Linked DNA regions of Coturnix japonica. The protein of the gene in region 2 purifies or fractionates together with the protein of the main gene of each other region. This does not show direct contact. Links are inferred from orthologs where the notes say so. Each region holds a gene or a part of one and is shown on either strand. Other genes may lie near its edges.

Evidence for each region. Proteins that work in one complex are often made in the same cells at the same time.
Region 1: the proteins of CRK (region 2) and ASAP1 purify together in Homo sapiens (affinity purification with mass spectrometry; 3 studies listed by BioGRID and IntAct, with this or other methods). This does not show direct contact. The link is inferred for Coturnix japonica from reciprocal best matches to the Homo sapiens genes CRK and ASAP1.

What each region holds. Positions count from the first base shown.
Region 1 is NC_029517.1:126,769,980-126,773,633, forward strand, and holds part of ASAP1 (arf-GAP with SH3 domain, ANK repeat and PH domain-containing protein 1), read right to left. Parts: intron 2,990-3,654; coding exon 2,856-2,989; intron 1,995-2,855; coding exon 1,903-1,994; intron 1,569-1,902; coding exon 1,382-1,568; intron 235-1,381; coding exon 149-234; intron 1-148. UniProt on the Homo sapiens protein: Possesses phosphatidylinositol 4,5-bisphosphate-dependent GTPase-activating protein activity for ARF1 (ADP ribosylation factor 1) and ARF5 and a lesser activity towards ARF6.
Region 2 is NC_029534.1:3,977,506-3,981,159, reverse strand, and holds part of CRK (adapter molecule crk), read right to left. Parts: intron 1,143-3,654; coding exon 607-1,142; intron 22-606; exon of another isoform or gene 1-21. UniProt on the Homo sapiens protein: Involved in cell branching and adhesion mediated by BCAR1-CRK-RAPGEF1 signaling and activation of RAP1.

The sequences.
Region 1 (3,654 bases), on a different chromosome or scaffold from region 2:
TCAACTCAAGGTATTAAACGATGCTTCTCTGAAACATATTTAAGGAGAATTACTACAAGTGATGAAGAAACAACCCAACCCATCGAAATGATGGCTTTGAACACCTTCAAATTTCATTCTAAACTGAACAAAAACATGCAACCCATACCAGTTTTGTACAAGGAAGTCAACCAGATGGAGAGAGGTTTGGTCAGCAGTCCGGACTGCTAAATGAAGTGCTGTTTCACCTGGCTCCTAAACACATGGAAACAGAGGTTAGATCATCTCAAACAGAATTGCACTTTATTTTCTATATGTAACTTCTGCCTTGATACACGTAAATAAGAACAATTCAGATTAAAAGATGCATGAGAAATTACTCTAAAATCAAATTTTAACAACTCTTATGAATCATTAAGTGCATTTAATGAATTTTAATTTTTATGTATTCTCATTTAAGTTTTTTTAAGTAGAGAATTTATATGGGAAACTGCTGTTATAAACATCTTAACTGCAGGCCACATTTCAATTGGTATTCATACATATTACTGACTACAGAAGCTGTGAAACACTAAGGGTTAATCCTTTGGTTCTCATTACAGCTGACAGAAAGTCTACCCCATAGTCAGAGGATCTGTGAAGTACTTCCATGACCAGCACTATGTGATACCTCAAGCGCTGAGACTGAGCTCCCTCCACTCCACACAGAAAAGCCCACAGAACTTACTGAAAACTACCTGAGATCTCTCTAGGTTGGATTTTAAAGTAGCAGGAAAAAACACTGCTGACCAAGTGGCTACACAGCATTGGTTCTTTACAAAACCAGGTTATGTTGCTCTGGAGCAACATTTCTGCATGGATACTTTCGGTGAAACAGATTTTAAAGGAGAAACTAGAAGTATTCAACACATTATTAAAACCAAGTCAAAGCCACGATTCTTGTCCTGGATGAAAAAATGTACTTTTGGAAACGTTTCATCACAGCCTGTGAAAGCATCACCTTTGCTGTTTCAGTAGGTGATGTGATGTGTCCCTTCAAAAGCTACTTTAAAAGCAGACATGACACTGTCTGTGGTATCAGGTGACTTTAGGTTAGCAAATTCAGCTACCTATCTCAGGTCCTTTTTCCAAAAGAAGCATACTGCACAGCAGGTGCTTCCCAACATAATATAGCTGCAATTAGAACAGTGTATCATAGTACTGTTGCATTTCACACTCTTTCAGACTAACTGCTGGCAACAGATATGGTCTTCTGTTTTCCCCTCTAAAGGATGCCCAACTTGGGAAAGAAAAAAATGATTTATGTGTTATTTCTCTTCTTTTAGTATTAAAGGTAACCACCTGTGGTACTTGAGATTTTACAGACATACTTCACTCAGTCTTGTTTAGCTGTTTGGCTTACCTGTCCAGGCTCTAACAGTGGCTCCATTAGCTCTACCCCCTCTGCATAGACTTGAATTAGTGCAAGTAAATCCCTGGATTTGACAGCCTCAAGTAATTCATTCAGTTTAGCTGCTGCAGATGCACAAGTCTTCCTAGAGAACTTATGATCTACATACTTAGCAGTTATAAATTCTTTACGTGCAGTCCTGTGGGGTATGAAAATAGACCTTGGTTTAGATGCTTTTTTAGGAAAAAAATGGGTCAAGAATATTAATGTAATATCACATTATTTAACTTGAACTCAGAAGGTAGGAGGAAAACCATCAGATAAAAGCTTATTACTGTAATGCAAGCTTTTTTTTGTTATTGTATAGGGCAGAAGACTGAACTTTTAAGAAACTCCATGTTTGGAGTATGAATAAAAAGTGTCCTGCCACCCTAATCCACCCTTGGCTTCTTTATTGCTTAAGGCGTTTTCCACCCCCAAGTATATTTCATATTAAACTTAATATTGAACAACTGAAGAGATTCAAAACTTACATATCACTCGATGGACTGGGTTTAGGTGAGGGACTAGGTAAATTCCCTTCCATAATATCATTAAAACTATTGTTTCCTACATTCTTGGCCAGCTGCAATAAGAAAACGAAATGATTAAAGGGAGATTTTTCCACCCCCCGACCATCAATAAGCTAAAACCTGGGCTATTAATAGTCATTTTCCACTCTGTTATCAAATGAACAAATAGTACGTTTGTGAGTTTCAGTACTATTAATAAGTATTTCACAAAGTTACTGCAATGAGTATTCTCACAGGTCAAGCACAGACTGTGGTAATAAACATGTCATAACTTAAAAGTTTTCCATACAATTCCTTTCATGACATTAAACGATTTCCTTCTATGAAATTAAAAGATTCATCCAATATTTTTTCTGCCCAAATTAGCATTAGTCGTTCTCAGTTGTTAAGTTAGATTATCACAAGATACTTTAAGCTATCTTGATTTGGAGTAATTTGGATCAGACAGTATGAGGTAATATTCTAATGTTGCTATTCACAGCAGATATTAATGTTCATTCTGTAAATCCTTAGGAAATGAACAGAAATGACAAACAGACAGATGTATTAGCAATACATAATAGTACAAAAACCTCACAAATATATGAATAACATATTCTGCAAATCTTATATATTCAAAAGTTCAGGGTTCTATTACAAGTCAACATGGAATCATTAGGGTTGGAAAAGACCAGAAAGATCACTTAGTCCAACAGTCAACCCATCTCCACCGTGTTCACCAAACCACGTCCCTCAGCACCACATCTCCATGTTTCTTGAATACCTCTATAAACAGCGACTCCACCACCTCCCTGAGCAGCCCGCTCCAATGTCTCACCACTCTTCCTGAGAAGAATTTTTTCCTAATTTCCAACCTAATACCCAACCAGTAATTAAACATAATGTTTAATATATGCACAACATAAGAAACTTACCAAGAGTTCAGACGTTCCTAATTTGTCTAATTCCAAAGACTGGATTCGAGAAATATGGACACCCATTTCTCTGTGTATTCCAGAACACTCTATGCAGGTTAAAATGCCCAAATTAGTTGATAGCCATGTTGGATCTGTGAAATTGATAAATAAAATAATTTAAGAAGTTAGAGAAAGTTTTCTGTGGTGGTAAGAAATCAAATGTAATCTGAAGCAATTACTTATTCAATATTTTAACAGATGGAAATGAACCAAGCATATCTCACACTTCTCTCCAAACTGCAGCACAAGTGCACAGCCACAATGGCACTGAATTTAGACTTCCAAATCCATACTGAATGACCACACTGAATGTATTTAAGGTTTGTTTCCTCTAGAAAGAAGACAGGCTTTTATTTCCTGCTTTTAAAAAGCAACATACTACTTATATTCTACTGTTGACAACTTCTGAAGTTTTAGCATTTACTTCTTAAATAGTCTTTTTTTCATTAAAAACTGACCATAACATAACCCAAAATGCAAAACAGTAACATGTGTGGAAAACATCAGGAACTAAGAGCTTAGGTTTTTTTGTTTTTGTTTTTTTTTTTTTTTTTTTAAATGCACTGTCGTGGAGTAGATCTGCATTTTTTACATTACAACATCTACATAGGGAACATGATCAGTCTGTTGAAGAAAGTAAGTGAATGTACACATATTTTGTATACATTCCATCAAATAAATCTCATCCTCATCTTATATAGTAGCTGATAAGACTTTAAGGCTGCAAGTTGGGGTACAGAAGCTCGTAACTTCATTA
Region 2 (3,654 bases):
ATAAAACTCCATCAGTCACTACTTCTCCTCCCTAATGAGTTGTAATATATGTTCATGATTCACAGTCTAAAAAGGTGAAGCGATTTGCTTGAGGTCAAGACATTAAAATAAACCCCTACGCGGGATCATTGTTATCTCGACGTGAGTAATTTTAAAGTGACTATCAGTGCTTCTACTGATTGCTTTTAAAAGGCTGACAGGATGACAGAATAACTCAGCACACCTTTAAAGGCTGGGGTGGAGGCACACAACATTGAACACAGGTTCAGACACACAACATTATGAGCCACACCCACTCCCTCCCCCTAAAATAATGACTTCAGAAGTGAAACGTGGATGGGGAAACACTTATGTTAGTGATGTTTCACAAGAGACACGACAGTGGATCAGTAACCTAAGCATGCTTATAATCAAGCTAGTCTATAAGTGACTTTAGTCACTTATTTAAAAGAAAAAATAAAGCTTTATCAGTAACTTATCAATCATGATGCAAAACCAGCTTTACAGTGCTTTTTTTCCCTTTCTTATTCCTACAAAATTATAATGTGATGGAAAGGGAAATCCCTTGAACAGATCTCTTCTTTCTAAGTTTTGCCCATTATGTACCTCCAAAGCCAAGGCTGTCTTGTCGTAGGCATTAGGGACTCGCTTCTGGATAACCCGGGCATAAATAGGGCCATTCTGAAGGTTAGGGAGCGGAGTGTTGATGCTGGGCTGGGCATAGGGCCCTGGCTCCGGCCCACCCAGTGGTTGTGGGTGGGAACTATCCTGGTTACCTCCAGTCAGAGTAGATACTGAAGCAGAGGAAGGTCTACACTTCTCGACGTAAGGAACAGGTATCATTCCCCTCTTTCCTTCGCTGTCTTCTGCATTCCACCATTGCTCTTCAGGTTTGTCCCGGATTTTCAGTATGTCTCCTTTCTTAAATGGAAGATCTTCGTCATCGTTTCCATTAAAGTCAAAGAGAGCACGCACATATTCAACTTCCTCCTGCCTGAGGATAACGCCACTATTCTGCCTGGATCGGGGAACTGGTTCTATCAAGGTTGTAGTGTCCAAATAGTGTATTTTGTAGAATTCCAGTAAAGATGGCAAAGAATCAAACTCCTGGTCACCTATTCGAAACCTGGTGGGATTCAACCCTGAAAGGAGAAAGCAAAACGTCAACAAAGAGATTGAACAATGGTTACAACTGTAAATGAAACGTCTGGGAAGACTAATACCTTTACAGACAGTCCTAATACCTCTACAGTCATTTGATTTTGGTCAACACTCATCGTATTCATACAATTGTCACTGAACAGACAACTCATTTCCTTCTCCCCCTGATGAATACTCTAAATCTGGACAGCAAACAAAATCCTGGTAGAAATTTTTAACAGCACAGACACTACAGAAAAACATTTAGCACAGCAATACAGCAGTATGTTCTCATAACACGTAATAAACGTAATTCATTCTTTTAATCTCCATTCTTATATTCTCTGTGCTATATTCATCAGATGGAGTCTAAGCTGCAAATGCGGCCCTCGAATACATTAAAATGCAGATGATGTTCATATTCAAGACATCAGGAGTAGCAAATTACATATAATCCATTTCAGTTTTCAATCTGTGAGGTTTTTTTTTTCTTTTCATTTTTATGCTCATCAGCTGGGGAAAAACATAAGTATGATGTTCCATTTCCACCACGCACCATATACTGTGTAATCAGTTATGGGAAGAATCGTGGAAGGCTGGGGGAGGGCAGTGGAGAGGAAAAGATTTATGCTTTAATGAGTAACTCTTAGCAAGAACGAGATGCTTACTTTGCAAGTCTGCTTCTCTGCAGGGAATATCTAAGAGTTCTGAGAATGAGCTCTCGAGTACAAAGCTAGAAGAATTTTTCAGGCTGTCGCTGATCCAAAAGTCCCTTCAAAGTAGCACCGTCAGCACGACAAGCTAACGTTACAAGAAGGTCTTTCAAGAGAGCAAAAAGGGCTTCTAATAGAGAAAGGGCAGATTCGGTAAGATCAACACAGAGAAACAGCCAATAAATAAGTTCTGAAGTCCTCAAGGAACAGAAACATCATTTGAGTTGGTTACAGAAAATTCAAAGCAGCAGAACTAAGTCATAGGAAAATGCACATTCAGATACATCAAAAGGCTGAAGGACTTTCAAAAGAAATCAGCCCCACTGCAATGAGCCAAAAAAAGCACTGGTCTCAAAAAAAACTCCCAAAGTAACCAAAAATCACACTGATAAGGAAACGAATGTAAATATCAGTGTGATGTGTGAACCTGGCACAGAAAGAGGAGTAAGACTCTAGAAATAACACATGACAGCCTAAAACAGCTGCCAAATGTACCTACATAAAGCTTAAGAAAGTCCACTAAAGCCTTATGTGTGAGGAAGCAGGGACTGAGATCAGTGCACTGCAGAGCCTTCCAAAATACATTTGACATATCTGAAGAGAGAACGCAGCCCCTTCAAATAGGTTTTAAGATCAGAATGATCAATGTGTTCCTTGAAGGGACAAAAAGGATCGACACTATTTGCACAAAGGGAACACGCCCAAAATGCCACACGCGGTTCTGATTCTTTTGTTTTAAAAGCAGAGGGCAGCTACAGCCATTTGAGGTCTGGAAAGCAGGATCTTTGCAGCAAGAAATCCATAAGCTTCATTCAAACTGCTGAAGAACATAAAGGCAGCAACCTGGTCACGGCCTGGAAAACTTGAATGGGAAGATTCCTAAAAGCACCTTGACAGGAGTTGAAAGTCGCTATTAGGAAAAGGCAGGTTGGAAATACAACCACACCTTACCAAGCAGGTGGTAATCTCCTCATCAGTTTAAGTCTTTGGTGTATACTCTTGTTCAACTACAAAGTCAAAGAGCTGAGTGATGTCACTTAAACAGCAGGGAAATAATTCCACACATTAGAAGCTTCCAAGTCCTGCCATTCCCTGCTACAATGAAACCCATAGATTAACAGATTTCAGGCTTGGAAGAATTCTTCAGCTTCTTGTTTGAATTACAACACTTCTCATACCTGTAGGCCAGTGGAAAAAACTAAGGCAAGATCTACCATAAGGAAGTCAGAGCAAAAGAGCTGTGTTTGTTTTCTTTGTCTGGAGAAGCAGAGATGTTTTCCTTCACAACCCTGGAACAGTTTTCTTGAAGGCACAAGTTCCAGCAGCATATGGTCTGCATCTTCCGAGGGCTCTCAGGAAAAGCAGAATGTGTGCAAAGGTAAGACTGGCTTCTAAAGGAACTTTAGTCACTTCCTATTAAAGTTGGACAACTGAAGAAATCCTCTTCCCTCCTCCCCAGCTCTGGACAGCCAAAGGAAGGACAGCAGCTCAGCTCACACCTTTGCTGCAGGACTGTTCGGCTCTGTAAGACAGCCCCTTAGAATGAGAAAGGGAAAGAGATGTGTATCATCTTCCTACCTACTCCATCCGAGCTCTGTCTGTGCTAGGACTTAATGTGATTCCATCCACTTGGAAACAGATAGTGAAATCTCTGCTCTCAAAGGGGTGATGAAGGGGTTAAAATCCAAAGTAGCCCATAATTAAACTAAGCGTAAAATTTGGACCCTGACTGATCTCTATGACACACGGGCCTTCCTACGGAGGACTTTTACACTGGCTTGGCTTTGTGTCAGTGTGGAAA